Linked DNA regions of Arabidopsis thaliana. The protein of the gene in region 1 interacts with the protein of each later gene in a pairwise test. Each region holds a gene or a part of one and is shown on either strand. Other genes may lie near its edges.

Region 1 (9,521 bases):
TCAACGGTTCTCGATTGGCTCTCTTTAAACGAGAGCGCTTATCCATAGAATAATATATAGAGTTTTAACCCGGAAAAAAAAAATACTCGCCTATAGTTTGCTTTAAAAAAAAGTTTCTTCCAACCAACAAAAGCACTCACCTAATCTTACAACTGTGATTTTTGACCAATGTTTTTGTTCATATCTCTTCAAAAAAAAATTTATACTATAATGAGCATTATAATATATTTTCTATCACATATTATTGTGCAGAAATTAAGTATCAAGTTAAAGGCAAGTTTTAGCAAAAACACGATTTACGGAATTAGCAACATTTACACGGACGATCGCATATTTCAGACAAGACAAATACAGAGGATAAAATATCATAAAAGGGAAAATGACGACACAAATTATGTAGGCAGTGATTGGTACACATTGTTAGTTTTTTTTAAAATATTACTATGTTTTTGCCAAAAAAAATTACGAATCAGAGCAATCATGCATAAAAATTAGAAGAATAGCGTAAATATTTTTCTCTTTTCTATTCACACCTTTACTCGCTTTTCTATTCATTTTCTTATTTTTCCTCTCAATTACTCCAAAAACATACCAATTAGAGTTTAGATTCATGATGTAATTGACGAAAAAAATCACCCATATGATTAGTTACACTATATCCGAACACTAATATTCATAAATTTAGTGTCTCGGATTTATGCATACAAACTTTTCATGGAAGATGCTTCTCATTTACAAGCTGATGATAAAATTGATCTTACATTTTTTAACAATGAAATGTCTTCTATTTTTTGTTATAGCCAAAATAACTCAGCTTTCAGTTATATATAATCTACAGTTTAGTGTATTTTGTTAACTTTAATCGATTCCTAATTCATTTTAATCAACACATCTATATGTAGGCAATTGGATGCAAAAGGTACACAAAACAATGCAAAAGGAAGGATCAAAGGAAAGATGTTATATGACACGTCAGCAGTATTCAAAAGTTTGAAGTTGAACAAATCTAGTCATGTTTGACTTTGACCACTGACTTTTCAAACCTATCTTTTATTAGTAGCAAACTCAGTTCCATACGTGCAAACAACCTCACACGTGCGTTCCCACCGCAATGTTTGAGGTTTTCTTCAACAGAAGACGATATTTCTTATTATTATAACGTTAGATTGAGAATTCAAAGATTCTCGACAAATGAATGGTAACTTTTTTCTATAAGAATCACAATAATTAGTTTTAGTTATACAATTTTATAATGTTGGAGTAATTGTCACATAGATGATTGGTTGGTGATAATAGTTGTTTATGTATGATTGATCAATTAAACTTATAATTTTCCATTGGAATAATATTTTCTTGACCTTTAAATTTGGAATGTAGATTTATATGGAAAAAGTAGATAATCATTTTTGTGACGCTAATTAAATATGTTGTCCCATAACGACAGAAAAAAAAAAATGAAACAAAAATAGAGACCAGATTGGTTCAAGAAAACGACACACAGTTTAGGATGCTAAAAAAGCTTTGTTAGTACCATATGATTGTTATATTGTTTATTGGTTCCTTAATAATGTATTTAGACGTCAAAAAATGTTTTTGTATTGATATGTGACCTCATAACTGGTTAGCTGCTTAGGGCCATTAGATTAGAGTTTTGATTGTTTCAAATGTCAAATCTTACAGTCCGTCAAATTTTATTTGATGTGAAGTAAGTGAGTTGATAAATGGGACTACTTTCTCCAGTTGGCTAGGGTCGACTGCTAATAACATTTCTCCAAGGAATTAATCTCAACGGGCTTGTTGCTCAGGCAACAATTTATAGGAATAGAGATTGAACGAAATAATTAACAGATTACACAACAATGTTTCCTCTACTTTAAGCAAGCAATCTTCAAGGCTATATTGATCGACTGATTCGAGACGCAATCGTCTTGTCAAGAAGAACCACAAAAACTATGATGATATGTAATGCAAACTTGACTCGTCTTTGAGTAACACTTCTTCATCTAGTCCAATCGTCGCAGGGTTTCTTTTAATTTATTTATTTATTATCTTCTCTTTTGGTAAGAAAGAGCTTCTTTAATTTGGTTAAACTTTTTTTTTTTGGTTAAGTACAAAACTTCTCATTCCTTAATAAAATTGATATCTATATTATAAAATATCAAATTTTGTAAAACAAAAATAATTAAGAGTAGTGTTTCACAACAACAACAAATTAAAAAGACTACTATATAAATTAAAAAGACTACTTGGCTTTCTAGAAATTATTAAATATAAATTTTTATATTAAATCTCTGATTTGCTATATCATTTATTAAAAGTGTGAACTTTATTTTGTTTCATTGTAACAAGTAACAACATGACTTTCTAGAATCTAGTGAGTGAGTCGTTGATTCATTCTACAAACCAGTTAATGCACCGCGTAAATTCTTTTCACGTGCATGGTGCAGTGCATGAAGATGGATCAAATTAAATACGAAACCAAACATAATTCAATAGTATATCATCTTTTAAAATTTGTATGATTAATAATCTCTGTCAATAAAAGGCCGCATGCATTGACTTGACTCTTTCAGTCTTGTCTTGCTTACTAATTAAACCCTCCATAATGCATCAACCTAATCATAACCGAAAATTTTCTGAGTTGTATTTGGTTAGACTTTAATGCTTTACTATCATTTTAGTTACGTTTGTGTTTACCTCGCAAAAAATCTTCTAGAAGGATAATATAATACTACAATACAATGTTGGCATTATCCATTACTGAGCGGTGTGAAATTGGTTTTGATTGTTTAACATATGAGTTAAAATTTGTTCGCAATATTGGCAAATTAGCATCGGATATGCTATTGTATAAGAAAACGCTTATTTTTGGAGTGCGCGTCTACCTGTAACTGTATAAACTACGTAACGAACCTTTGAACGCAGAGTGAATGTGAGTCTCTGTGACACGACTTAAAGCTTAATCAGAAGCAGATTATTGGACCTTATGGAGACTTTATCAAGATTAGCTAATGAAGGTTACTATATATGAAACTTTGAAGTAATTGTTTGCAGCCTTTTGGGATCAATAAACCATAAAAGCATTGGTTTTGTTTTCTCTATCTATATCCAATTCCGGAAAGTAGAAAACTGGATTAGTAAAAATCATATTCACACATTGCGAAGAAAAACTATGTGCGCGCGGATACGTTGGGAAAATCTGCGCATGGTTTAAAGTTTTGCTTTCAGTCAATTATAATTCGTTTTTTATACTCCCTCTGTTCCAAGATACTTGATATTTTGGGTTTTTGCACAAGAATTAAGAAAAGTAACTTTTATATTTTTAATTATTCTTTTAGTTAGTTTAATAATATTAATTTTACTTCTCTCATTTCATTATTGGTTACAAACAAAAATAATAATGATAGTTTTTCAAAACATCAATTTTGGTGGAACAAATAAAAAAACTCAAAATATCAAATAACTTGAAACAGAGGGAGTAGTTAATTAAAAAAAGATATTTCACACTTTGACTTGGCGAAGCCTCATAACAATGAAGTTATGTATGAACTATATATGAAGTTAGAAACAATGGAAAACAGCTTGTAAATATTCATTGTTGTATATATGTTTTTTTGGGTCAATTTGGTGCATGAACAAAAATAAAAACGTAGATGAAAACCGGATATTTTGGTGTTAACATTTGCATTTGAACTTCGTGAAAGACGGATAAAAGCTCATTTTTGTTCTTTATTATATGGCTGCTATTAGTACACAGAGTTGAACTTTAGAATACTAAAAATCTCGACATCTTTTATTTTATTTTTGTCAAGCATCGACATCTTTTCTGTTCAAGAAAACGACCGCAATAGTCGAATAATATAACTCTTGGACTAGTTAATATATATTTGCGATAGATTTTCGATCTCACTTATATCTTATAACCAAGAGACAAAAACAATATTGCAGTCAAGTACAAAACGAAAACAATCACAATGTCGACTATAGATGAGTCGGTCATTCGATCCAACGGCTCTGAGTCCACGAAACACGCAACCAAGTGGTGCTCTCTTTTACACCAAATCATATTATAAAAAACTTAAAAGAAAGAGAGGATGGTTCGTTGGCTCCTTCTTGTTCCTTAATTAATTCAAATTATATTCATCACCTCCATTGAATAAGTCCATTTCACGACAAAGTCACCAATGCTTCTTTTACATGTATATATACTTCTTTCCACTCCCTCTTCTCTACTCAAATCAAATCTTCTTCCTTCTCTGTTTTCTTAAGCTTTTTGAAAATTTTATCAATGGCGACTCCTAACGAAGTATCTGCACTTTGGTTCATCGAGAAACATCTACTCGACGAGGCTTCTCCTGTGGCTACAGATCCATGGATGAAGCACGAATCATCATCAGCAACAGAATCTAGCTCTGACTCTTCTTCTATCATCTTCGGATCATCGTCCTCTTCTTTCGCCCCAATTGATTTCTCTGAATCCGTATGCAAACCTGAAATCATCGATCTCGATACTCCCAGATCTATGGAATTTCTATCGATTCCATTTGAATTTGACTCAGAAGTTTCTGTTTCTGATTTCGATTTTAAACCTTCTAATCAAAATCAAAATCAGTTTGAACCGGAGCTTAAATCTCAAATTCGTAAACCGCCATTGAAGATTTCGCTTCCAGCTAAAACAGAGTGGATTCAATTCGCAGCTGAAAACACCAAACCGGAAGTTACTAAACCGGTTTCGGAAGAAGAGAAGAAGCATTACAGAGGAGTAAGACAAAGACCGTGGGGGAAATTCGCGGCGGAGATTCGTGACCCGAATAAACGCGGATCTCGCGTTTGGCTTGGGACGTTTGATACAGCGATTGAAGCGGCTAGAGCTTATGACGAAGCAGCGTTTAGACTACGAGGATCGAAAGCGATTTTGAATTTCCCTCTTGAAGTTGGGAAGTGGAAACCACGCGCCGATGAAGGTGAGAAGAAACGGAAGAGAGACGATGATGAGAAAGTGACTGTGGTTGAGAAAGTGTTGAAGACGGAACAGAGCGTTGACGTTAACGGTGGAGAGACGTTTCCGTTTGTAACGTCGAATTTAACGGAATTATGTGACTGGGATTTAACGGGGTTTCTTAACTTTCCGCTTCTGTCGCCGTTATCTCCTCATCCACCGTTTGGTTATTCCCAGTTGACCGTTGTTTGATTAGTTTTTTTTGAGTTTTTGAACGATGTGTATGCTGACGTGGACGTACACGTAGGTGCATGCGATGAAAAAAACATCTATTTGTTCATATTTTTGCGTTTTTCTATTTGTTCATTCTTTTTCACAATTCACAATACATTATTTCAGTTAATGATTACGGATAATTTAGCTTTACGTTAATTTATTATGAGTACTAGAAGAAATCGGAGTAATTCAACATATAGATTATACTAGTATAAATGTCAATTGCATTGACATTAATTGAGGAATTATAGTAGAACCTAGTATAAAAAGAATGATTCAAACATGAGATATTGACCGGCGTTATGTGAAGTTGTTCAGACAATAAATGCATAACCGTGATTCTGTCTGAACAAGTCGATTCTTAGGATAAAAAATGGATAAACTTAGTCAAAATATTTCCCACGTGGTTAGACTTTTGCTTAGTTACATGACGAATGTGAAAGCCATCCATGCATGTATCCAGAAGAATATATCTTGCACGGCGAATTCTCTACGTATTTTAGTATTTTAGATTTGACGACATCTAATTTTCTTTTGGTATTTCGGGTTTGACATCTAATCTGCTAAGAACCTTTTCTTATAATCGAAGAATTTTGTTGGGTCGTCTTGTAAGATATTATTTTCAGTACACACTATCTAATCATTCATCAAGGTCACTAATGGGCCTTGTGGTCTAAACTTTGAATATATACTTTCACCTATGAAATCCAGAAGTTCTGGCTGGGTAAGTTCTAAACCAACCTATCTTATACATCGAAACACAAAAGATAATTGGAACTACAAACAAACTTTACCCAAAAATTATTAGTTTGTTTTTATCTCCGTAGATGAAATTGGGTTTTCTAAATCGTTTTCGAAGATGAACGCTAATCAAACAAAAGTGGTATAACACAGTTTGTTACGAAATTTTGTTAGGAAAATAAATGAAGTATGTGTTTTGCGTCGACCTCAAAATAAAATACATATTAAATCTTGCATGCTAATATTATTGTATAGAATACCAATCAGGTAAGAATCGCTCGTCATCATACGACTATTCAATATCCAAACATATTTATTTGGAAAACCCGACCACGAATAATGGTTAGCTTTACATCATTATCCACACATACTCAAATGGTTAAATTTTCTAGAATTGTAATGGAAGACACAATGTTATCACGAATGAGGATCATCATGCACTTCAGGTTACCTAATTATCCTACGTGGACAATACCTAATCCTTCCATGATTTTCAATTATTGCAGATAATTTTTCTGAACGTCATCATTTCCCATAACGAATAATCATTTCCTCAATCAACGCAAACCTAACTATCTATGTCATTTACATGTTTATGTGGTAAAAATCTGCTTAGAATAAGTAAACCTTCACATATATATTGTAACAAAATAATTGAGGTTAATGTTATTCAATGCGAAAAAATGTAAACACTTGCTAATGAGTCGTAATAACCCTATATTATTTTTCCAAAACATGTTTCTATTGAAGTTACAAATTAAGTTTCCACTCTATTTGGATGGAGCGTACTAGTCGTAGACACGGAGAGCTTCCAAGTCCATCGGATCAACTTATCAAACTTATCGACCTTTTGGTCCACAACAAGATATCTTTTGTCCATCTTCATCATGGCTCTCGCAAGAGGATGGGTTACATATATGGTTTGCTTTATTGCTTAATAGGGATTAATTTCTCTAATACTTTTGATTAGCTTTTCGCAAACATTTTTCAGCATAAGGACGCATCTGACGTACAAATTAAAAATCCAAATGAACTAAAATACTTTTAAACAGAAAGGACAAGGAATCTAAGCCATCAAGGCCCATCTCCACGTAGCTCCAGCAACGACAAGATGCTTTATTATCCCATTCTCGTGGATACTTGTGTGAGATACACGCTTCAGATAAATCAACGGACGAAATTGTAAAAAGCGTGAGGAAGAGAGAGCCTCTTTCCAAAGGAGAGGGATTGGATCATTGAGATATATCCGTTTATCCATCCTTGAACTCCTGAAGATTCCTTCGCACAGACAACTCTCTCGAACATGTTAAAGATTCTCTGATACCTAACTATTGATTCCTTTTTCCCTGCATTTTTCGTTCACTATTTTTGCTTATAACTTTTTGTACTAAAATTAAAAATCATGCCACCATCCTGTATTTCATATCCAAAAGCTTTGGATTATTTTATAATATATCATTGGCTTGATGTGATTGATATTTACCAAAAATCTATTCTAGTTTCTTTTTGTAACACCAAATGTTATTTAAAATTTGTATTGGAAAAATGATTCATTTATATAAGTTATTATATCCCTCTTAAAAATTGTATAAAATCTCTAAGACATTATTAATTGTAAAAGATAGACACAACACGTAGCTATATGTCTATATCCAAAAATAAAACACGTAGCTATATGTAATATTATAAAAATGTACATATATTATTAGGGTTGTAATATTTGGTCGGTTGAAAATTGAAATCGCAGCTCAATTGGAAATTCACGTGTATTTTGTCTTTGATTGTAAGATATTAAAACTGTTCTTCGCTTTCCTTTTCTCATTTCTCACTTAACCACTCGATCCACTTTAAACCACACATTATAAGTGTGCCTCAAAAAAATCTAACATTACTCTCTCAACACATCTCTCTTTCTTCTCCATTTCCTTCTTCTCTTTCATTCTCTTATTTAAGATTTAAATCTGCTCAAATGCTTGTAAACAAATTTCAAGTTCTTTAAACGATTTCCTTTTCAAGAAAAATCCTTCTCCTTCTTCTTTTTACCACATAGATCTTCTTGATCTACAATGGATTCTGTTTCTCTTTCTGAGGTTACTGTCATTAAAGGAACAACACATTTGGGTTTTATGCACAGTTTCAGACAGCCATTTTGTGGTGTCAAAATATCTCCAAAGTTCTATTTATCCAAAGGTAAATAATAACACCTTAAAATCACTTCCTCTTCACAACAAGAATCTTCATTGTCTTTTTTAAAAATTGTTTTTTTTTTTTTGCATTTTGGACGAGAAGTTGATGGACCAAAGGCAATATCTTCGAGCAGCAACACAAAGAGTCAATTTGTTTATGGAGGAGGAAGCATAGCTGCAACTTCAGATTCAGGTTATAAGATGAATGGAGTAAACCTAAAAAGCAGAACATTGATGAGTTCTGCAGTTAAAGAAAGATCATTACTTGATGCTTATGATGATGAGTATGGTGGAGTAATAGTAGATCATGGAAAATTACCATCAAACCCTTATGCTTTCGCTTCTATGCTTCGAGCTTCTCTATCCGATTGGAGAAGAAAGGTAAAAACGATAAACCCTATAAAAGTCTTAAACCCTTTTGTTTTTGTACATATGTAAATTTGGGGGAAATTTTTGTAGGGAAAGAAAGGAGTTTGGTTAAAGTTACCTGTGGAACAATCAGAATTAGTCCCAATAGCTATAAAGGTAAGCAATAAGAAAATGGTTCTTGATCTTGTTTGATAAAGCAGAGATTTGTTTATGCAAGTTAATGATTTTTTGTGGATTGATTTTGCAGGAAGGTTTTGAGTATCATCATGCAGAGAAAGGATATGTAATGTTAACATATTGGATACCAGAGGAGGAACCTAGTATGCTTCCTGCAAATGCTTCACATCAAGTTGGTGTTGGAGGTTTTGTATTAAATCAACATAAAGAGGTATCAATATATGAATGATTATTCTCTCAAGTCTCAACACTTAAAGTAGAGTAGGTAAAAAGAAGAGTTACCTGAATTTTTTTTTAAATCTCATTAGGTGCTTGTGGTACAAGAAAAGTATTGTGCTCCTTCGATTACTGGTCTATGGAAGTTACCAACAGGGTTTATTAATGAATCTGAAGAGATTTTCTCTGGTGCTGTAAGAGAAGTCAAGGAAGAAACTGGGGTAATTAAATCCGAGAAGATTAGTATATAGTATAAATCTTGATTCTGTTTAAAAATTCGCAAGATCATAACCATGTATGGCATTGTGTTGTGTTATTCAGGTAGATACAGAGTTCTCAGAGGTTATAGCTTTCAGACATGCTCACAACGTTGCATTTGAGAAATCTGATCTGTTCTTCATCTGTATGTTGAGACCACTCTCTGATAAGATAATCATCGATGCTCTTGAGATCAAAGCCGCAAAGGTAAATGTAACAAGAGTCTTTATTAGAATGCTCCAGTTGTACATGCTACAAGACGGTCCTGATTACAATGATTGTTGTGTTTTTCAGTGGATGCCATTGGCTGAATTTGTGGAGCAACCGATGATAAGAGGAGACAAAATGTTTAAAAGAGT
Region 2 (12,258 bases), on another chromosome or scaffold:
ACCTCGCCCCTGTAATATCCAAAGGATTATTATAAACATATCTAGCAATAAAGTTCTACTCAGCTCAGGAAAGTTTTGGCAAACCTTTTCAACACGGAATTCTTTCGAGGAGTCTTTATCAATCAATGCAACAAGCCTCTCAACAGATTTCCGCTCACGCACAGGGCGATCAGAGAAAGGAGTCCTAGGCTCTGCATCCTTTTTTACTTCCTCGGTTTTATTCTTCTCGCGAACCTTTCCTCCAGAACTCGTCCCTTTCCCACGCTTTTTAGAACCCTTGCTCTCTTCTTTTTCATCTTCTTTATCATCATTTGTCTCCTCTTTCTCATCTTCCTTTGCATCTTTGCTCTCCACTTTTTCATTGTCGTTCTCATCCTCACTCCCTTCTTTTTCATCTTCTACCTTTGACTCATCCACCTCAGCCTTTGCCGCCTCAACTTCCTTTGTTTTATTTTCTTCCTTATCTTCCTTTTCTTTTCCTTCAACATTCTCCACTTGTTTATTTTCATCCCCATTCTCCACTTTTTCATCCATATCTGTCCCTTTGTCTTCATCTACCAGTGTCCCTTCCTCTTTGATGTCTCCTGTATTGCCATCTTTTGTTCCATTTGCTTTGTCAGCTTCATGTTGTATGTCCTCCTTCCCAGCTTTTTTGTGGTCTGCCTCAGTAATATCTGTCTCTTTGGTCTCTTTTTCATCATCTTTGGCATAGTTATTGTCTTTAGATTCCACGTTTTCCTTCATTACAGTATCTTCCACTGAAACACCATCATCAGTTTGCTCTTTCTTTCCATCGGCATCTTCATCCATGTTGGTAGCCTCTGCTTGTCCCTCATCTTTGGTGACCTCAACCTTCTCTTCCATTTTTTGAGTCTCAGCATTGTCTTCATTTTTCTTAACCTCTGACTCTTTATCTTCCGTCTCAGCTTTTTCATCATCTTTCTTAATCTGAGCATCTATCTCCATATTGTCTGGCTCAGCCATATCCTCATCTTTCGCCAGTTCTTGTGTTTCCTTACCCCCAGCATTCTCCTTTCCAGCCATAGCCTCTGATGGCTTTTCAAGAGAAGTAGTCTTGTTTGCGGTTGGCTCAATGGTTGCCTTTGTATCTTCCCCCATATTACAAACCAGTTCAGTAGATCCTTCCACCAAAAACACTTCTTGTGGCTGTGAATGAGAAATCAGTTCAGAGGATTAATATTGCTACGATAGCAGAAATTAATGCTCTCTATAAAGAAATTGAACAACTTGACATAAAGAACATGTAAAACGCATTGAATTCACACTTAGCATATATGCGAAAAAAAACTAATTCCAGGAAAACAACATCTAAAACTTGGCTAGTCAACAATAAGACAAATCTAATTTAGATCTCATTATTGATCCATAATTATCACTTAATCCCACTTTAGATCTGCAGAAGAAGAACTAAATGGAAATTTCGCGTAAGTCACTAAGAAACCAAAATCTCGAAGGTTCATCATTTATCCTCGCTTCTTATACATTCAGTAGAACAAAGATCCAGATGGACAAATGAAACCAAAAAACACCCTTTCATTCAGACAAATCTCCAGAGCTTACACCACACAGATTCAGACAAAACACAAACCCATCTTGAATCTCTCGAAATCAAGTCAATCAACGTCAAATTCATGCATTTTGTCAACAACTTAATAGCATCAGATATCAAAAAGACAATAAATAATCAAAACATCGAAATTCACAAATAAAAGAAGCGCATGAGAAACCCTAACTTCTCATCGCAACTTTAAACAAACACAAAGAAGAACCAAAAGAACATGCGAATTCAAACAAAGCTCAAAACATAAAAGCTCACAAAGATTTAAGCAGAGTATCCACAGGGTTCTAAAGCAGAAGACTTCGGAATCTCACCTCAGAGTATCACAAGACTCGGCACTGAGTTTTTTTTCTCCTCTAACTACTTTTTTTCTTACAAAACAGAACAAATAGCTTTTGTTTTTCTTTTTGATAGCGTTTTTTAGGAGAGAGAAATTCAAGGATTCGGACGCAAAGCCAGATTTTAAATACAATTTAATGCCACGTCAGGCTTAGGATGAATCATTACCGTCCGATTTCATTGCTGTAATAGAGTTCATCAACGGTTCAGATTTTATGTTTGATGCATCTCGTGGATCGATGACGCTATAAACTACCCTAACGTCCGGTTCCGAACCAGGTACCGAGCCTAGACTTTATATTTCAAGGATTTTATATTAGGTTTTTGGACAAAAAAAGTTAACATATTCAATGTTTGTGACCTATAGAAAAATATATTTTTTTAACTACAAATTTAATTTGGTAATTTTTCAATGATATGATAGTTTTGTAAATAAATTATCTATAAAATTACTATATAACAGATAAAAATAAAATTGATACGTAATAATTGCTATATCGGTTTAATATTAATGAAATTGTTTTACTTCTTTATGATAAGGAAGCTAAGTTTATGTGATTGAACAAATGATTAAAACAAACTCTTTCTTAAAATGTACTTCTTTTTAAAGAAATTTAACGAATTCGTTGAATGTTCAATTATAATTGATTTAAACAACGCTATATTAGGTAAAATGATCTAATTGAATAGAATTGTATAAGTGACTTTAACAAATTTTGTTATTTTATATTTAAATATTTTTTATGATGGATTCGATCCGCTACCATAAATAGCGTTGTCAATTTTTGCAAAAAAATTAACATGATAATCCGATTTTTACCTTTCCGCAAAAGATGAAAATGATTCACTGGTCCGGTGAAAAAAACAAGACTATTTTGACGACGATGATTATAAATGACTTATAATGTCATTAGTTTGATAGCGACAAAATTTTTATTTGCTTAACGGGTACTATGATCTAAAAGAATCTAATATGTTTGTCTTTAACAACAGTAAATGCTTCGGAAAAAAAAAAGTTCTAAATATGAAATTAGAGATTGTAACTTCCACCAAATAATCTAGATACATGTAAGAGAGAATAAGGTTACTGTTTTAATTGCCAATCTACTTCTTGCACAAATCTCTTAATTTTGTATAGAGACTGTATAGTATAACCTTCCAAATAATTGAACAAAGTTTAATATTGTCCCATGGTAAATCACCTAGTCGAAGTATTTATATCTCATTATTATGAGTTTTTGACAAATCTAGAAGTCTAGAACTAAAAGTTGAGAAACTATTATTGAAAAACGGGCAACAGTTGTAATTGTCTGCTTAAGGACCACGTAGCTTAAGTACCGTCGTGGTGTTTCTTTCATGGAGCATATCTAATTACGGTGAAGAAGAAATAGTTTGTAGTAATATTGCTGTTTCTTGTTTAAATAAAAGCATTAACATCTTGTTGTGTATTTTTACATAACATTTTTGGAACTCAATACAGGTGACACAAACAAATATATATGGTGGAGATAGTTTGAATCAAGATCAGCTCTCTGTGAAGAAATAGGAATTATATAGAACAAGGCCTCGTCCCATTCCTAACCTAAGAAGATCCCGTACATAATGTTGCTTACTTTTTGTTTTACGGACCCGATTGTACTCTCCCCATGTTGGGCGGATATGGGTAAGATGAATTGTTCAAGGACGAGATGTCACCATTTTGAGTCTCGTTCTTTGTTTCTCTCTGGCCGTACTGATTCATACCGCTATTTAAGCTAGCATAGTAGGATGACATGGGACTAGCATGAACAAACCTGAAATTGACTCCATTTGGGTGAGTTTGGTTGACAAGTTGTTGATTCTGGTGCTGATGTTCGTTGGAAGCGTGGTTAGGTCCATCAGATGAGATTCCAACACCAAGATTGAGGCTGATGGTGTCTGTTTCATCTGGTCTGAACCGAGGCTGGATTTCGTGATTGCTGCTAGACTTTGAAGTGGGAACATCATGATCGTGTTTGCCTTCGTATGTTGTTATTACAGCTTTTGGATCATGTGATGCTCTCTCCACGTGTTTTCTCACTGGGCATCCATGAGCTGTGCATTTGTAGTAGCTCCTACAAAAGGCCGAGGAACATCATGAAACATAATATCTCCATTGCGCACATGTTGAGTCTGTTAAGATCACTATCTTCCATATTCCAAACCAAATTCCTAAAAGAAGCAACACTTTATGCACATGTCAAATAACTAGGTCCTGAAGACAAGGACTAAACTGTTCTAGCTACCATTTTGAACTCGCAAGTTATGTTTATGTATGTTCATTCGAGAAAAAAGCAAGGAATTTTTTGGGGTGTTAAAAGCTTTAATGCTGTACAAACCTGGGATTTGGGTTCCCCCTTACGACTTTCTGCCCATATTTGCGCCATCTATAACCATCATCCAGAATGTCAACCTCACTCAGAGTTTGAACAACAACCCGAGGCTCCCGGATGGGTTTCACTAGTGGAGTTATTTCCATCGCACCCTCCATCCTCCTACATAAAGTTAAAATAAAGTTTTAATCATGTCAAATCACAGATTCAAATCAAGCACCTGAATCCTTTGTTAAACTCTAATACCTCCGTTTTGAGAATGGATCATCATCGTCCGGCTCATCTTTATTCCTATTTGACGCTGCCGCTTCTCCACCATCGTCAGATGCTGAGATAGGAGGTACTTCAGGGTTACCAGTTTGTTCATTGGGGTTAGACAAGTTGTAGACGCCAGATCCCTTCTCTGTATGCAGACATAAGAGTAGAAGGAAAAAGTTATAGATATTGCCAAGGGAGTAAGTGCATATTTGTCTCAAGTTTTAGTTATGATTACCATCTCGGCCAGTTGAAGAAGGATACTTGTCTAGCCTTTCTTCTTGTGCAGCCATACCACCAGAGTTTCGGCGACCAGGTTGAGGTTTAGGATGGTCATGTGTACCCTTGTATATAATATCGGTGATCTGCCCATCATGAGATCTTTCAAATAACTTTTTCACTTCACAATTAGGATGTGTACATTTATAATAGCTCCGGGGAAATTCACTCCCTTTGACATGCTTTTGACCATATTTTCTCCAGTTATAACCATCATCAGCCAAGATGGATGGAGTGCTTCCTCTGGAGTCATTTTGGGAAGTCTGGATTGATTCCTCTTGATCAGATCCAGCCGGAATATCTGAGCTCGTTGGTGTCATCTGACAAGGAGGAGTTGGCCGGCTTAGCTCACTTGAGGAACCTGCAGCATCACTGATCGAAGAAGGTGAGTGTGAGGATCCATGGCCCTGGCCTTGAAAATGTACTGGTGGCTCACTTCTAATCTTGCCAAGCTCTGCATATACCTTGAAATCAATAAAGATGTTTAGACAAAGTCATCCCCCAACAATATACAAGTAACTTATAAACTGTGAGCTTTTGGATACAAGGCTCCTTATGAAACAATTTAAGGCTGGCATGGTATTATATGTATGCAAAGGCGAAAGATTTTGAGATTTACAAGCAATCCAAGCGCTGAATAAATAGACTTCGTGCAGAAAAATTAGGTCAGCCACTGTTCGGGGTTCATATGTCGTCGACTATCTGAACAGTACATTACATGCAAAGCATAACAAACAGCATTGTTTTGGACAATACCATATTTGATGCAGGAGGTCTGAACTCAAATTCACTGGACTTCTGCTCAGTAAAGGTGTTCTGATGGAACCCCCTGCCTGTATAAGAACTTGAGCTAGCAGAAATGTGCACTGGTCGAGGCTTGAACAAAGAACCAGTAGTAGGGGAAGGTTCTGGCTGAAAGTTAAAGAAAGTGGCATATTATTAATGGCATGAATAAAACAATACATATCAGATTTTGTAAAACATGAACCTGATCTATCAATAAACATGATGTTTTAAAAAAAACAGTCTTCTAAAAACAAAAACAATATCTTGTTCAATCAAGGGATAAGAAGATATAACTAAGAGATGCAAAATAAAATTGAGCACATAGCATATAACCTATTATTCATAACTTAATTGAACAAAACGAATACTCTATAGATCTAAATGGTGAACATGCGAGTAAAGTACATTTTCTCACCAACAGAATCATTCAATAGCTCATATAAGTAAAAGGAATCCCCACACAGACGCAGCTAACCGAAACCTAAATGTACAAAGAATGGAAAAAGAAAAGAGAAGCACCAAACACATGGAAGATAGACACTAGACAGTATGAAGAAGAAACGACAAAGAGCAAGAGGATATAAATAAAGTATCCAGCACCAATAGAACATGATAAAAAAAAAAGGTTTATTCGAAAGAACAATCTGAACGGACACAAATGCAAACCAATGCAGAGTATAGTAGCACAAAGAATCAGAATCTTGGCCAAAGTCCCTAACGTAAGCAAACAAATCATAGTTTTTTAATCACTTGTAATGGACTAAGAAACAAAAATGGAAACCCAAGTCCAATGTTTTTCCTAGTGAGCAAGCAGAGAGCATCTCCACCAAATTACCAGAAATTCCCCACTAACATGAACAGTGATCCAAATCGAAATTGAAGCAACGAGAAACCGAACAAGTGGGACAAAATGTCAATGTTATGAATCAATTCCAATTCCAAACTCAGTTTCAAAATGGCACAATCCAATTTCATGAAAAATCCTTTAGGTCTTAAAAATATGAAATCAGAAAACCTAATTTCTCAAATCGACAACAAAAATGAGGTGAAACTGTGATTGCATTTACCAAAATCGAAGAAGAAGAAGAAGAAAGAGATAGTAAAGTAGCTGCTTAAACCTTGATGTTGGAGATGAAAACAGGAGATTCCAAAAACGAAGTCGGACTCAACCCAGGAGGAATCGTGATATCAGTCGACCTCGAGATCGGAAGCTTGGCCGGTGACATCAGCTTATACCTAGCACCTCCACCTCCGTTTCCTCCAGCTGAATCGTGCTTTGCCGTGAGATCTCCCGTCGCCGAACAATCTCCCTGAAACTCCTTCCGGTCATTAGCTTGAGGGTTCATTTCAGAGATTCGCAAGGGTAGAACAAAAATGAAGGAAAAAAGAAGCTAAGGGAAAGTAGAAGAAGCTCTCAGCTATGGCGAAATGAGAGAGATTTTGGTCTCTGCGTTAGTGAAGATTGTAGTGAAAGATGAAAGAACGATATTGACTTCACACCTCTCTTAATTCTTTGTTTTTCCTTTTCATTTTTTTAATAATTTATTTTCTTCTTCTTCTTTTTCTCCTTTATTTAGCTTTATCAATTTCTAAAGCAACAACAACAAACGTTAAAGTTGACAAAAACAATTAGAAGATGTAAACAATCCTCTTTTTTTTTCTCATGTACATTTGTCAAAATGTAAAAGATAAAAAAGTTAGTGTAATCAAAATTGCTTGTTTAAAGAGTTGTTGGAACCAGAAACATCCTAAATCTCAAAGTAAGAGTGTTGTAGCATTGGTAGATTGACACAGTCAGAAGCAGTATTGTTGATGATAATTAAGGATCAGGTATCAACAGTCTCAGGTCTTTTAAAACTTACCTTTTTGAATCTTTTGTGCGCCAATGATCCGTTGCTTCGACTCTCGTCTATCTTATCTTCTGCGATGTTTATCAATAGTTCAATACCGACGCTGAAATAAATGTATTTGCTGATTTGTAACAAGTTTCTATTGTGATGAGGCCAAATATCAATCGCATCATCGACAATTACCACTCTACGCTCATCAACAGCAAGAAGATCGAGTGTCTTCTCATAAGGACTTTGTTCTCTGGCTAGGACTCGATCTCCAAAGTATATTTTTTTCCGGATCAATCCACTTCAACACGGTCTGAGCGTAACTAGAATCACCCATTGTGTATACGTGCATGATGAAACGCTTGTTGGCTTCTAATAGAAATTCATGAAGAAAAGGTCGTAGCTTTATCATATATTCGCTGGGAGTGGATCTCTGTTGATTCTCCACAGATCTGACCTTGAATCAGCTCCTTCGATTAGATACTTCTGCTCTTCGGAAAGGTCCGAAACAAGTACCGAGTGGACAAGCGTGTGGTCCAAGTCAAGGACTAGGTGAAACTTCTTCTTCTTATCATCGTTGAGACAGGCCATTTTTTTCTTGTTTTGGATTTTGGTTGCAGAGTATGATTGTTGGCTCCAAACAAGTGAAACTCTGTAATCGAAAGAGAAACCCTAATTTGATCGGTGATAATGAAATTGATATGCTATGATTATGTATTATATAGAGAGGATATGTGTGAGATATCTTTGGGCCGTTCTCAGTTTCTTTCATTGGTTTAAATGGGCCTAGGCCCTTGAGTCAAATTACCTACCAAATTATGTGGGAGTTGAATCGAATTTTTTTTGTTAAAAATTTAAGCTATTGGTTTATCTTGTGGGGTAGCGGTTGTGTTCTATTTGCGTGGATAACAGTTAGGATATATAATGGTGAGTGGTGACATTCTGGATCCAAGTTGGTCCACCTCAAATCTTGTTAGAGAATTTTTCAAAAAAAAAAAAAAACATGTTTCTTTGGTTGTAAAACTTCCAAAATGTGTAAAAGATAAGAAGAATATGTGTATATATCTCTCAATACTGTTCAATGCCGTTTCAGAATAAAACTATGTAATTCTTTTCTAAACCAACAATTGTTTTACTTGTATTTTAAATAATTATCAATCCATGTTTTGATAAAAACTGATAATTCGAAAGTGGGTAACTCGGTAAAATGATAAAGCAACAGAAAATATATCATAACTATTCAAAAATATGTGACTAGTGAAGATTTTAGATAGTAATTTTTTCTTGGTGCAACACTCATATCATATACATAGTCTTGTCATTTTTACATATTAAATTTAATGTCTAGATTAACAGAAGAAATAAGGAAAAACTCGATAACTGTTTTTTTTTGGTAATTAAAAAACTCTAAGAAAATCTAGAAACGGAAAAGTTTGCATGAAAATTTCCAAAGTTCAAAAAGGTGTTGTCCCCTTCACATAACCACACCATCATCATAATTTTGATCAAACATTTGACCAAGAAAAAGGGGTGGTTTCACTATTTTAGTTTGGTGTACTTAAGATTTTGAATTATTTAAAGTTCACGATATATTGGCATATACCTCGAAGAATGGTGATCTTGTACTCAAGTGCTGGAGGAGACCTTTAATTTTTAGGAGTGAAATTCTCTTCAATTTGCAATTTTCTATTTGATCACGTTGAAGATTTCAAAAACATTTTTTAATCCAATTTTGTATGTTTGAAATTAGTCAGGAATTCGGCATATGATTAACTGCTTATACACAAGTATTCTGAAATAAACTAAGATGTTTTGGAAAAAAAAAAAAAAAAAAAAAAAGTATTTTAAACTCATATTACATTTTTTTTCTTCGCAAACTAGTATTACCTTCTTACTAGAACAAGTAAACAACTATGGGATCAATGAGGTCATCGAATGCCAAATATGAATTCTATTATTGGCCGTCTACAAATTAATTAATGGATATAATGCAACCCTTGGATACTCATAAACATCATTATGCCCAAAAAGAACATTAGAGGTAGACTTTTTCCTCTACACAAGAGAAGCTCAGCTGTCTACAGATCCTATCTTCTCCTTCTCATAATTTTATAGAAAACTATAGTATATAGATAAAAACTATATTGTTTTAGGCGTCATATATAAGAAATATGCCCACGCAAGAGAGGATAAAAAAAACACCACACAACAGAATATTTTCCCTTATAGGTAAAGGTAAAATGTCAATGGAACATAATATTAAAATGATTAAATTTGATGCAAAAATATTATTTTGTATATTTTCATGTAGGGCATATGATTCTATCTTTGTGATATAAAAAGATAGCATCGAGTACCCAGTTTTAAAATTATGTCAACGTAGGCATATCACAAGTGAAAAACAAAACGTAGACAAATCAAAATATTAAAAATGTAAAGGTCTTATCATAAGTAGAATGTGAATTTGTTAATAGAAAATATGAAAAAGTCGTTAATAACATAAATGTGTATAATATGTATCGTGGGTTCGTATATTAGATAGAAGACAAGTCACCTACGAACAAGAAAATGTACTATGTAGTAATCTTGGAATATTAATGTAATTTCTCTCTAACGCTCAATTAATATATAACGTTGTCACTTGACTCACTTTATCTCTTAACCATTCATTTTCTGGTGTTTTGTGTACCGAATAACATACTGATTAATTATTATGTATCCGTCCACTTGTTCGTGATTTTGTAAGGTAAAGTCCAAACATTTTGTAAATAGTCTGAAAAGACCAAAAAAATTCTAAAACATAACGCTAAGTAATTCACCTAACTTAAATTATATGAGACACTAATAATTTCGGAAACTTTGATGACGATTTTAGCTCAAACATTATGTAACTATTTTCTAATGTTTGTCCCAGTGATTATGATGATATGAATATATGATAATTTTTAGATATTTAAATTATTTCAATACTTTTGTAGATAGTGATTGAATACATTATACCTTACCTAATTAGAAATTAACTCATTCATTCACCTATAGTTTTTACAAACACATTACTGGTTTACAAACTCATATTATTATACGCTGATGACATTTATATAAATCATTAAACTACAATGTATGTTCTAAAAATCTTCCAATTTTAAAGTAAATAGTATAAAATTAAATATATGCATAAAGTTTAAACTTAGTTTGTTTCCAAAGCAAGGAATAATGTGCAGGGATTCAGAACTTTGGAAATTCTTGTGAGTTTTTTTAAAATTATAAGAACTTTGGAAATTAAACTTTAGAAGAAAATCTTCATACAATCATAAATTCAGCTACAATTGAAAAGTTGTAGAAGAACAAAAATAGACAATGAAATTAGTGTTTCTTCAAATAAAATGGAACATTTTCTTTTGATGATATTAATTAGCCTTTAGAAAAGTTGTGATACTCATAAATTGAATTACTCATTTTTTCTAGAGACTCCATAAATTGAATTTAATCTCATAAGAAATGTAAAATCTATTTTTCAATTGTTTTTATCACAAATAAATTATTGGTTAGAAAGTGAATTATTGAGATGAATATATATATATTTGTGGGAAAAAATAAAATTTAAAAATAAAAAGGAGCTATCATCTTCCATCATCTGTCTTTAGGGCCTCCCTCTAAGTCTAACAACCCTAAAATAAAAGATTCTAACACCAAAAGAGAGAAGCAAATCTCAAATTCTTCCCCTATTATTATATGTGACTGTTGTTGTTTTTCTCTCTTTTACCATCTTTGGCCTGAAGAAAAAAAAAAGGAATCCTTCTTAATGGATTTGGTAAATCAATTAAGAAAGCATTACACAAAATAAAAAAGGAAAGTTTTTTAATAAGCTTCATTGAGAGAGAGATATAGAGAGAGAAAAGAGAGAGAGGCCATATTTTGATAAGAGAAGAAGAACCCTTATAGAGAAAGAGAAAGAGAGAGACAGAGAGAGTGGATGGATGTCTTATAGAATGAACAAAACATCCTCTGTTTCTCTTGTCCTTGTCCCTTTTTCCAGATCTTAAGGTTTTCCACATTTTATCATCTGGGTCCTCTCCTTAATGGTGAATTCTCCATCTTTACAAGTTTGATGTTTTTGTTCATCAAATCTGGCGTTTTTTTTTCTCTTCTAATATATATTGTCTCTGCTCATTTTCCGTTTCTCTTCCCATTGATTGTTCTGTTTCATTTCTGTTTTTTTTTTTTCAATAGTTTTGATTGGATGCTTTGATGATCCATTGTCAGATTTGAAGACACTCAATTCCTATTTGATCGGGGACTAGAATTTGGATTCTGTTTCAGACAAAAGTAGATTTCCCTGTCTCTTTCCCGTTTGATTTTCAATAAGATGAATCCGGAGGTAAAACATTGAACAATTCTTCATAAATCTCAGAACTTTGAGCTTTTTTGAATCTTAAAACACGATCGAAGTAAAAAATCGAATTGTTAGATGAAATGGGCAATCGTCATTTTCGCAAATCTGATCCGTATTTGTGAGATCGGATTCATTGGATCGACTTTGGGGTTTTGCAGGAGCAAAAGATGGAATCTGCATCGGATCTGGGCAAGCTCTTCATTGGCGGGATTTCATGGGACACAGATGAAGAACGACTGCAAGAGTATTTTGGCAAGTATGGAGATTTGGTTGAAGCTGTGATCATGAGAGACCGTACTACCGGACGTGCCCGTGGCTTTGGGTTTATCGTTTTTGCAGATCCTTCTGTTGCCGAGAGAGTCATCATGGACAAACACATCATTGATGGCCGCACGGTTAGTATTCTTGGATCCATTGCTTGACAATTCATCTAATTAT
Region 3 (12,009 bases), on another chromosome or scaffold:
TTTTAAGTTTGAAAGCTTAATCAGTTTTAAAGTATAATAATCTTAAAATAATATTCAAATCACAAAAAAATCATTACACTTTTACAAAAAAATATGTATGACTCTATTGAAACAAGAGTAACTTATTTTTTTTTTCCGTTACAATAAATTAAACTTTTCTTGAAAAAGAATAGATTTGATACTTTTATTTGACATTACTCTCACAATTTTTTTGAACTGGTGAATTAATTGTGTTTAAACTTAATCGATTTATTAAGCTATCAAAAATTTTAAATTTTGAACCAAAAAAACAGCGAACAAAATAAATTTAGCAAACTCGGTGGCATAAACGTTGGGAGCGAGAATCTTGATTTTTTTTTGGTTATTTAAAGAAATAAAAGTATTAAATTGTACGTTTATACTATTACACTGTTTTAGCTACTTAGCTTAAAAAAATCATGTTTTTTTATAAGAACATAAATACGAGCTGAGAGAGAGAGAGAGTACACAAATTTGTTTCACATTCCTCTAAATTCCAAACAAATTGTTTATAGAGACACCAATCTTCTTCTTCTTCTTCTTCTCTGACAAAGTTATGGGCGAACAACAAATCTCAGTTACAGTGCCTCGTGATAGAACTGATGAACAGGTTTTGATTTATGTTACTCAATTTTTGTTTCTCCTCTGTTTTACAGATTCTTGTTTCACACTCTGTTTTGCTCTGTTTTGGTTATAGAAAATCAAGAAATTGATGCATTTCTTGAAAATTTCCAGTTTTAGCCTCGACAGTGATTACTGTTCATTCCATTACCACTTCTCTCATCTTCAAACATTGTTGTGTGTTTTGTTTTTTCCTCAAATGAAATCTCTGTTCTGTGAAACACATTAGAATCACTCTGTTCATAGTTAGTTTTAAATGGTTTAGAGATCTGTCATAGAATTCAAGATCTTTCTGGATTTAGAGATGATTAGTGATCGTTATTTTCTTGTAGGCAATCTTGGCTTTGAAGAAAGGTGCACAGCTTTTGAAATGTCGAAGAAGAGGAAACCCAAAGTTTTGTCCTTTTAAACTCTCAATGGTAAGTTTCTTTTGATCTTTCAATCATTTATCTTTCAAGGGTTTTAGTAAAGTTGTGTTCTTTTGGTCTTATGAAGGATGAGAAGTACTTGATTTGGTACTCAGGAGAAGAGGAGAGACAATTGAGATTGAGTTCTGTTATAACGATTGTTCGCGGACAAATCACAGTATGTATATATTCCTTTTGGCTCACTAAATAGTCTCTAGTTGAAGACGTTGATGATGAAAAGTGTTTCATTTTGTTCTTAGCCAAACTTTCAGAAACAAGCACAATCTGATCGAAAGGAACAGTCTTTTTCACTCATTTATGCAAATGGAGAACACACTCTTGATCTCGTAAGCTTTAGTTATAATGTTTGAACAAATAGTTTTCAAGATTAGGAGATTTGATAAATGGTGAATATATTGTTGGTGATGTAGATATGTAAGGATAAAGCACAAGCAGACTCATGGTTTAAAGGTCTTAGAGCTGTGATAACAAAGCATCATAACATTAGAAACTCTGTGAATCATCGGAGTAGTAGGGGAGCTCAAAGTTGCATCAATAGTCCTGCGGGTTTTATGCGAAGGAAACAGAATCTTGGACTTCTTGAAGAGACTCCTGACGTCACTCAGGTAACTAAAAGACACTTTCTTTAACCATTTATATATTGTTTTCGATTTCTTGATGTATCTTGTTATGTTCTTGAAGATACGTAGCTTATGTGGAAGTCCATCGACGTTACTTGAAGAGCGGTGTTTGTCGAACGGGTTGTCATGTTCTTCAGATAGTTTTGCTGAATCTGATGCCTTGGGTCCAGTTTCTTCTTACTATGAAACAGATTATGATTTCAGGAACTCGGATTGTGATCGTAGTACAGGTTCAGAACTTTGCAGGTTTTCATCACAAAGATTTGCTGCTTCTCCTCCTCTTTCTATCATAACACAGCCGGTTACAAGATCCAATGTCCTTAAGGACATTATGATATGGGGAGCTATAACGGGTCTTATCGATGGATCGAAGAATCAGAACGATGCGTTGTCTCCTAAGCTTTTGGAATCTGCTACGATGTTTGATGTACAGAGTATATCTCTAGGTGCAAAACATGCTGCGTTGGTTACAAGACAAGGTGAAGTGTTTTGTTGGGGGAATGGAAATAGTGGGAAGCTTGGACTTAAAGTTAACATCGATATCGACCATCCGAAACGCGTTGAGTCTCTTGAGGATGTTGCAGTTCGATCAGTGGCTTGTAGTGATCATCAAACGTGTGCTGTTACGGAATCTGGTGAGCTGTATTTATGGGGAATTGATGGTGGAACCATTGAACAGTCAGGAAGCCAGTTCTTGACTCGGAAGATATCCGATGTTCTTGGCGGATCTTTGACTGTTTTAAGTGTTGCTTGTGGCGCGTGGCACACGGCAATTGTGACTAGTTCTGGTCAGCTTTTCACTTATGGTAGTGGAACTTTTGGAGTTCTTGGACATGGGAGTCTTGAGAGTGTTACAAAGCCGAAAGAAGTTGAGTCTTTGAGACGCATGAAGGTCATATCTGTCTCTTGTGGACCGTGGCACACGGCTGCTATAGTGGAAACCGCGAACGACCGGAAATTCTACAACGCCAAGAGTTGTGGAAAGCTGTTTACTTGGGGAGATGGCGATAAAGGACGGTTAGGACATGCTGATAGCAAGAGAAAGCTTGTGCCAACTTGTGTTACTGAACTCATTGATCATGATTTCATAAAAGTCTCTTGTGGATGGACTTTAACTGTTGCTTTAAGCATTTCAGGAACGGTTTATACAATGGGAAGCTCGATCCACGGACAGTTAGGATGTCCGCGGGCAAAGGATAAGTCGGTAAATGTTGTTTTAGGCAATCTAACACGACAATTTGTCAAGGATATTGCTTCAGGTTCACATCATGTAGCTGTTCTAACTTCATTTGGAAATGTTTATACTTGGGGAAAAGGCATGAATGGACAACTTGGTTTAGGTGACGTTAGAGATAGAAACTCTCCTGTTCTTGTTGAGCCTTTAGGTGATAGGTTGGTAGAAAGTATAGCTTGCGGGTTGAATTTGACGGCTGCGATCTGTTTACACAAAGAGATCTCTTTGAATGATCAAACCGCTTGTAGTTCTTGCAAATCAGCTTTTGGATTCACAAGGAGAAAGCATAACTGTTACAACTGTGGTCTATTGTTTTGCAATGCATGTAGTAGCAAGAAAGCGGTAAATGCTTCGTTAGCACCGAATAAAAGCAAGCTTTCTCGGGTTTGCGATTCTTGCTTTGATCATCTATGGAGTATAACAGAGTTTTCAAGAAATGTTAAGATGGATAATCACACTCCGAGGATGCAGATGGTTACACGAAGAGTATCTGAGGATTTGACAGAAAAACAATCAGAGAATGAGATGCAGAATCTTCCACAAGCTAATCGATCTTCGGATGGACAGCCTCGATGGGGACAAGTCTCTGGTCCTTCTCTGTTTCGTTTCGATAAGATTTCGACAAGTTCTTCTTTGAATCTTTCAGTCTCAGCAAGGCGAACATCTTCAACGAAGATTTCAACCTCGTCTGAGTCGAATAAGATCTTAACCGAAGAAATCGAAAGGCTAAAAGCCGTGGTAATTAAACTACTTCTTTTTGTTTTCTTACCTGTAACAATAGTAACACATTAGACACTAAAGATACATTTTTATGAACATGTAGATAAAAAATCTCCAGAGGCAGTGTGAACTTGGCAATGAGAAGATGGAAGAATGTCAACAAGAGCTCGACAAGACATGGGAAGTTGCTAAAGAAGAAGCAGAGAAATCGAAAGCTGCTAAAGAGATAATAAAAGCCTTGGCATCGAAGGTAAAAGATACATAGTTTTTTTTAATCTTTCTGTTTTTGGTTTGTTATGTGACCGACATTTTCACGGTATCTTTGCTTGCAGCTCCAAGCGAATAAAGAGAAACCGAGTAATCCTCTGAAGACCGGCATTGCATGCAATCCTTCTCAAGTCTCACCAATCTTTGATGACTCAATGTCCATTCCATACCTCACACCAATCACCACAGCTCGTTCACAACACGAAACCAAACAACATGTAGAGAAATGTGTCACGAAATCCTCGAACCGTGACAGCAACATTAAGCTATTAGTAGATGCATCGCCAGCCATCACAAGAACAGGGTATCTCCAAAACGAAACACAAGACTCGTCAGCAGAACAAGTTGAGCAATACGAGCCCGGTGTATATATAACTTTCACGGCCTTGCCTTGCGGTCAGAAGACGCTTAAACGCGTACGGTTTAGGTAAAAAAATGTTAATGTGCTTTTAAGTGTTTATATAGTTTGAAGTACGCTTAAGTATTTATATGATTGGTTTCTAACTTTGGTTGCAGTCGGAAGAGGTTTTCAGAGAAGGAAGCACAAAGATGGTGGGAAGAGAAGCAGGTTTTGGTCTATAACAAGTATGATGCTGAAATATGAAACTAACTTTTGAGTTTACTTCTTCGAATGTATTTTAATTCATTTTGATGTTTGTTAGTGAATATATGTAATGCAGAAAAATTTCTTTATTTAAGAAAAAATGAAAAAAAAATACTGGGAAAAAAATTCCAATATATGATTAATAAAAATATTTTAATGATCATCTAGGAAATATATATGCGAGTTAAGAAAAATGTTTGTGATTTTGAGCAATGAAGAAGACTTGCATAGTATGTAAATGTAAGTAGAAATATATCTAACATGCTATCTTCAAAATGCGATTGGTTCAATATTACCATTGAGGCATTGACCACGAGATAGAAAATAAAATGATGTATATCAAATATAAAACTTTCATTCTATATTATAGAAAACGTAATAATTGACTATGAAATGTGGCTTAAAATGTGTGAAAACAGTGAGAAAGCATCTCAAAAATTAACAACGTAAAAAATAGTTTACTTATTATGTTTTCTTAAAACCTTACATTAAGTTCTAGTTGTTGAAAATTCCTTATAAATATGTCAAATATGTCACGTCCTTACGTTGGTCGATGCCAAAAAATATGACGAGCAAAAGTTATTAACTAGTATAGGTTTATACATATATATCCGTTTTTACAAGCAAAAATAGTTATCAAATTGTCTTTAATTGGTTACTTTTAATATTTTCACTAGGAGCAAAACTGATAAATGAAATTGACAAATATCTAGTCTATATGCATAAACACGTTACGCATGGATGAACAAAAATAAACATGTTTAGATGAATTATAATGAACGTGAGTTTTCCAACATTGAACATGATACCGAAAAAGCTTATTAAGAACGTTACTGAGAATCAAATTTACACGGAAATATATAAACACATTAAAGTAAAAAGAAAAGTTAAAGTGGAAAATATGTTGTGGGGTTTGCAATTGGCAACCGACCCTAAATGCTTTTTCCAGCTTCTTTTACATAATTTTAATCTCTTTTTGTCTTTCTTACAATTTCATCACTGATCGATCGAATTCAAACCCTTATGTTACGCTTCTTTCTTATATAACTGTCTCTTCATATTCTCACTCCTTCTCCTCCCTCTTCTCCTTTTTCTCTCTTAAGTTCTATAAATGTTCATATTTGTTTCTAGCTAAGAAGTTTGTATAAGGCAGTGGACATGGCTCCTGTTTCAATGCCTCCAGGTTTCCGGTTTCATCCAACAGACGAAGAGCTTGTCATATACTACCTCAAGCGAAAGATTAATGGTCGGACTATTGAGTTAGAGATAATACCCGAGATTGATCTTTACAAATGCGAACCTTGGGATTTACCTGGTATATTTCTCTCTTTGCTTCTTTTTTTTCTTTTTCATAAGATGCAAATCTATCATTTTTTTTGGTCATCCGCAAGTATTTACCATGGACGAAGGTATAAATTTATGATTCTGCATCGTTAGTACATCAACATGTTGTGTCTCATGTTAAAGAAATTTTAAATGAGACCATACCATAGCAACCGAAGGAGAAGACTCTATCTGGTTCTTTTCTAATATGTCATAATCATTTGATTGATATGCTTAGTGTAAGATCATTTTTTTTTGGAATTTAGTAAGAATAACGAAAAATAGATTCATTTTTCTGAAAACTACATAATGTGAAACTAATGTTTGAAAGGGTAACCCTTGAGAGAAGAGACACTTGACGTCCTTTCTTTTTCGAAGATAGATGTTCTTTCCCTCTTTTTCCTTAACATAATATAATTCCCATTTTATTTTCACATTTTTACGTACCAAGTTATGTATCTCTAGTCACGCATCGAACTTGGAATCGAACGTGAATGCTTTATCAACTAAATAATCTTTAATAATTATGATCCCAACTTTATGTTAGAATAAAATTTAAATGGACCCACCCTTATCTTTAGTCTTTAAAAGGATTGTAATAAAACCGAGAGATGCGGTGGTGACTAGTGTGAGACAAATTCGGAAGACCGAGTCAAAAAAGGTAAGAAGATTGAAAAAAAAAGATAATAAGTAACTCACAATAATTTCACATGTGCTTTAGGGTTTTGGAAGCTTCTCATTCACCTTCAACTTTTTGTTTTAAATATAAAACAATCTAATGTTCTCTTTATTTGTCTTTTCTTTTTTAATCTTTTGGATTCTCATGACATGTTATGGAATCTTTAAGTAGTGTGTACAAATTAAGATTGGATATAATTTATCTTAATTGTATGATCCTTGCAGGGAAGTCCTTGCTGCCAAGTAAAGACCTAGAATGGTTCTTTTTCAGTCCTCGAGACCGGAAATATCCAAACGGATCAAGAACAAACCGGGCGACCAAAGCAGGTTACTGGAAAGCCACCGGGAAAGATCGTAAAGTGACTTCACATTCACGGATGGTTGGAACAAAGAAAACATTAGTTTATTACCGAGGAAGAGCGCCTCATGGCTCTCGTACCGATTGGGTCATGCACGAGTACCGTCTTGAAGAACAAGAATGTGACTCTAAATCCGGTATACAGGTAAGCTAACTTTTAAAAAGGTTATCAAAAGATTAAGATTCTTAACTTGAATATAAACCAATGTATAAACATTTCAGGATGCCTATGCACTTTGTCGAGTATTTAAGAAGAGTGCTTTAGCCAACAAAATTGAAGAACAACACCATGGTACGAAGAAGAACAAAGGAACGACTAATAGTGAACAATCTACTTCTAGTACTTGTTTGTATTCTGATGGAATGTATGAAAACCTCGAAAACTCGGGGTATCCAGTCTCACCTGAGACAGGAGGCTTAACTCAACTCGGTAATAATTCGTCGTCGGATATGGAAACGATAGAGAATAAATGGAGTCAGTTTATGTCGCATGACACGTCCTTCAACTTCCCACCTCAGTCTCAATATGGAACAATCTCATATCCTCCCTCGAAGGTAAAATTTAAACTATATATCTCAAAGAAATACAAAATTAAAATTGGTGAATATGTAACCTTTTGTTTTCAAACTAATCTCTTATCCATTGAATTCTCCTCATATAATAGGTTGATATAGCGTTAGAGTGTGCAAGACTACAAAATCGTATGTTGCCACCAGTACCACCACTTTACGTAGAAGGTCTCACACACAATGAATATTTTGGAAACAATGTAGCTAACGATACAGATGAAATGTTGAGCAAGATTATAGCATTGGCTCAAGCCTCACATGAGCCACGAAACAGTCTAGACTCATGGGACGGTGGTTCTGCTTCCGGGAACTTCCATGGAGACTTTAACTATTCCGGAGAAAAAGTCTCATGCCTAGAGGCGAACGTGGAGGCTGTAGATATGCAAGAACACCATGTGAATTTTAAGGAAGAAAGACTTGTTGAAAACTTGAGATGGGTAGGAGTATCAAGCAAGGAACTTGAAAAGGTAGTGATATTTTACAATGTTAAGTGCAAAATATTTTATGTGTTAATATATATGTTATCAAATATAAGTATATGTTTGATTTATTCTACAAATTTCAGAGCTTCGTTGAAGAACACTCAACGGTAATTCCTATAGAAGATATTTGGAGATATCATAATGATAATCAAGAACAAGAACATCATGATCAAGGTAGCTTTCACTTCGCGATTTCTACATTTGGTTGTCTTTCTTGACATCTCTGGATTTGATTTTTTTGTTTTGTTGTTGTTGAAGATGGTATGGACGTTAACAACAACAATGGAGATGTGGATGATGCTTTCACACTCGAGTTTTCGGAAAACGAACATAACGAGAATCTTTTGGACAAGAACGATCATGAGACAACGAGTTCCTCATGTTTTGAGGTGGTAAAAAAAGTTGAGGTTAGCCATGGATTGTTTGTCACAACTCGTCAGGTAACCAACACATTCTTCCAACAGATAGTACCATCGCAAACCGTTATAGTTTATATAAATCCGACGGATGGCAATGAGTGTTGTCATAGTATGACATCAAAAGAGGAGGTTCATGTCCGTAAAAAGATAAATCCGCGAATCAACGGAGTAAGCTCAACAGTTCTTGGACAATGGAGAAAATTCGCGCATGTTATTGGCTTCATTCCTATGCTTCTATTGATGCGTTGTGTTCATCGAGGTAACTCTAACAAAAACAGAGGCAGTGAAGGTTACTCGAGGCAGCCTACGAGAGGAGATTGTAACAATCGGGGAACAATACTCATGATGGAAAATGCTGTCGTGAGAAGAAAAATTTGGAAGAAGAAGAAAGAGAAAAATATGGTTGACGAACAAGGTTTTCGGTTTCAAGATAGTTTCGTATTGAAGAAGTTGGGGCTTTCTCTTGCTATCATCTTAGCTGTTTCTACCATAAGTCTTATTTGAATACTGAGGTTCAATATATCATATATGGCTTTTCACTTTTCTATTGTACTCCCATTTGCCTAGGTCGTATTTACTCTCATTTGCTTTTTCCATTTCTCTAAAGTCGTCTAAACAAAACTAGATTTGGTTATTTTCTGTTTATGTATTAAGTGATATGATCTCTCCGCGGGTTGAACGATCAGTCTTCTGTCTGGTTTTTATTATTATTATTATGTTTGCATGCACGTAAGACGGTAAGAGCAGATTATACGAACATTAACAATTTAGCCATCTTGTATTTCAGTATTTTAGTCACTATAGATATGTGAGTAAGTTTATAGTCATTTTCATAATAACTTGTTTATTATAACGATTGCTGTTCCATGTTTTGCAATGTATAGATCATCAAAAATTACTATCGAGCTATTTTGTTCTTGAATCTTGACAGATAATATTTAAGAATAACCTATACGGTTCAAACTGTCGGTTTCAATATTAAAACAAATGTGAATGGAAGATAGAGAGAGGAAAAAAACCTCTCTTACAAAAGAATCTAGGTGCGTCAGAGAAGCTCGCCAATCTCATGGAGCCAAGATTTGCTTTCCTGGCTCTTAATAGTTTGTATGGATCGGCGATTGAAACTTCATTATTCTCTCCCAAACAAAACATAGAATAAACGAATGTGTCTAACGCTGAGTGAAGAGGACTAGACGGACTTGCCCCGTCATAATATGCATATTACGATACGTTGCAACATTAACAATGTCGTGAGTATGCATATCTCATAACATACCAAATATCGATACGTTTCAACATTGAATTTTTAATATCTTAGTCATTAGCAATTAATAATTAAATCTTCTTTTATATGAACAAATTTATGATTTACAAAAAAAATAGATGTTATGTTTCCATGGATCATGTTTTCAAGCTTGACCGAAAACAAGCTGCTAAAAAGTGTCATAAAAGTTTGGTACTAGTACAACTAGGATTTTGTAACTCTAGCACAAGAACCAGTTCAAAAGATGATTATGCATACTGGATTTTTATAGATATTGTTGATTCTTGCATGGCAATCAAAGAGTTTGGCAGCTAGGTATACCTTTAGGGGTGATGTCGACACCTCTCATCTAGCCTTACTTGCTGAAGTATAACTACAATTGAATCTCACTCCCCCTACCAGAAACTGTTTCCTTCCTCATCTTCATTAGGATCAGATCGGATCACAACAACAAACTTCGTCGAACTCAACCACGATGGACAGTGGTGGCTGAGGTTCGTTGCCTGTTTTAGGGTTGAAGATTGAGATGCGTTAAGTGACTTGTGAGACTTTAAGTAACACACAACGACATAATTTAGGGTACTTGGGCCTTAATGGGCTGGATTGGAGTGTTACAATATACAAAGTTCATCGGAAGTTTAGGTTTATTTTAAAAGATGTTCAATGTGGATCCTAATTTCATGCGTTTTAAAATACTTTAAACATAAATCCCAACCAAAAACAAAAAACTCCCAATATCCTTTGAAATTTACAAAGTTCTTTGAAAGTTTAGGTTATTTAAAACATTGTTCCGTTGAAATATGGATCCATTAATTTTCATGCGTCTTGGTAAGATGTATCATATTATGGATATGGCTTTGAGCCTTTGACTTTATTCCTACTTTAAAGTTACAACTTAAATCCCATTTAACCAAAAAAAAAGAAAACAAGAACTCCCATATCCTTTGAAATTCAAGAAAAATTAATGATACAGTTGGTATATATCATTAACAATAATTACAACACCCTAAAATGATTATAATTTGCGTTATCTTTTACGATCTCAAATCTTGGAGTCGAGATTGTGGTAATGGGGATTGGGATGCACGTGGTGATACGTAATGGGTGTAGACAGAAAATCACAAGAAAGCGAAAGTGGTAACTATTGAAACACAAAGTGACAAATCAAATAATAGTCGCGTGCTTTCTTCACGGGTCACCTCCTCTATTGTTCTCACAATCAATCAAAACCTCACTTTCCAAATATTTTTTATATTTTTCTAATTTTTTTTTTGGTTGTGGTAAGAAATTATTTCATTGTGTTATAAACAGCATTGAGATCGATTTTTAAATTTCTTAAACGGAATTAACCAGAAATTTATACATTTATTTGTTTTTCACATGCTTTTGCAACCTTGACACAAGTTTCAATCTGTTTGAACTTCCATCTATAGGAATTGGAGAGACATAGGGATAATGAATCAATTGTCCGTATAAACACTATACTAAAATGAATACAAAAGGGTATTCACATGTATGAAGAATGTGAAATAGTGGTTGCATATACATTTACACTTGAGTGAGGATGTCCAGTGAGGCAAATATTCCATCTGAATTCCACAATTATTCTTAAATCAAACTAAAAACAAAAAGTACATTCCAACAGAATTCTAGCATATAGAAAAAGTTTATTTATTTTTGCCAACAACAATAATAAAATATTTCTCCCTATCACTCTCCACTCTATCTCTCTCCCTCTATGGAAAACCCACAGATATTTGTCTTGTGAATTCAAGAAGAGCCAATCTAAATTCAAAAAGGGTTAATTGTGATTTTGTCTTCTTTCTTCATCACCATTAACAGTGATAATGTCTCCATTGCCTTATAGTTCTTGGCCTCTGATACTATTGTTAGTATTGTGGTGCATGGTAGCTAGATTATCAAACGGAGCTTCCAACAATGTAAAGGTTGGAATCATTTCAAAGGTGGAAGATGCTACGAATTTCCATATCTATTATGGACAGACCTTTAAAGTCATCAAAAACGCCATTGATGGCAAGAGCTATCTCCTTATTCAGGTTCTTGCTCTTTTCTCATTAACTTATCTTTCATCTTTTTGTTTCCAAATGTATGGTATGGTTCGTGTCTGATAATTGAGGATAATATGTAGAACACTTCTAGAATGGCGGTTCGGACAAAGTATTGTACTTCCAGGATAAAGTCTTATGTGATTCCACTTCTAAATTACTCATTAGACACTCAATCTTCTCAAGGTATGTTCTGTTTTTTTCTCCCCTGTTTCATTCCTCTGTTTAACAAAATTCTGTTGTTTTAGATCTCTATGTTTTCTCTTATGCAGGAAGTGTTCCGGTTTCTTTCTTTGAGGTAAACACTCCTTTCTAGTATCTCAATACATAAGCTCTA

What was found.
Region 2: the proteins of ERF5 (region 1) and WRKY20 interact in a two-hybrid assay, tested with the Arabidopsis thaliana proteins (one large-scale study listed by BioGRID).
Region 3: the proteins of ERF5 (region 1) and NAC028 interact in a two-hybrid assay, tested with the Arabidopsis thaliana proteins (one large-scale study listed by BioGRID).

What each region holds. Positions count from the first base shown.
Region 1 is NC_003076.8:19,175,784-19,185,304, forward strand, and holds ERF5 (ethylene responsive element binding factor 5), read left to right. Parts: upstream 1-4,097; 5' UTR 4,098-4,288; coding exon 4,289-5,191; 3' UTR 5,192-5,399; downstream 5,400-9,521. Other genes in the region: AT5G47229 (uncharacterized protein), read right to left, coding at 3,911-4,066; NUDT8 (nudix hydrolase homolog 8), read left to right, coding at 8,023-8,146, 8,246-8,523, 8,602-8,667, 8,759-8,899, 8,997-9,125, 9,226-9,521.
Region 2 is NC_003075.7:13,433,759-13,446,016, forward strand, and holds WRKY20 (WRKY family transcription factor family protein), read right to left. Parts: upstream 7,239-12,258; 5' UTR 6,936-7,238; coding exon 6,708-6,935; exon of another isoform or gene 6,017-6,707; coding exon of another isoform or gene 6,005-6,016; exon of another isoform or gene 5,716-6,004; coding exon 5,560-5,715; exon of another isoform or gene 5,268-5,559; coding exon 4,763-5,267; intron 4,673-4,762; coding exon 4,516-4,672; intron 4,432-4,515; coding exon 4,276-4,431; intron 4,012-4,275; coding exon 3,540-4,011; 3' UTR 3,247-3,539; downstream 1-3,246. Other genes in the region: AT4G26630 (DEK domain-containing chromatin associated protein), read right to left, coding at 1-9, 85-1,119; AT4G26650 (RNA-binding (RRM/RBD/RNP motifs) family protein), read left to right, coding at 11,794-11,805, 11,979-12,215. UniProt on the Arabidopsis thaliana protein: Transcription factor. Interacts specifically with the W box (5'-(T)TGAC[CT]-3'), a frequently occurring elicitor-responsive cis-acting element.
Region 3 is NC_003070.9:24,517,770-24,529,778, reverse strand, and holds NAC028 (NAC domain containing protein 28), read left to right. Parts: upstream 1-5,518; 5' UTR 5,519-5,670; coding exon 5,671-5,827; intron 5,828-6,738; coding exon 6,739-7,016; intron 7,017-7,093; coding exon 7,094-7,426; intron 7,427-7,536; coding exon 7,537-7,908; intron 7,909-8,006; coding exon 8,007-8,097; intron 8,098-8,181; coding exon 8,182-8,846; 3' UTR 8,847-9,111; downstream 9,112-12,009. Other genes in the region: AT1G65920 (Regulator of chromosome condensation (RCC1) family with FYVE zinc finger domain-containing protein), read left to right, coding at 575-628, 972-1,058, 1,135-1,224, 1,307-1,393, 1,478-1,672, 1,749-3,659, 3,745-3,891, 3,974-4,335 and 1 more; AT1G65900 (plant/protein), read left to right, coding at 11,454-11,663, 11,756-11,858, 11,945-11,970.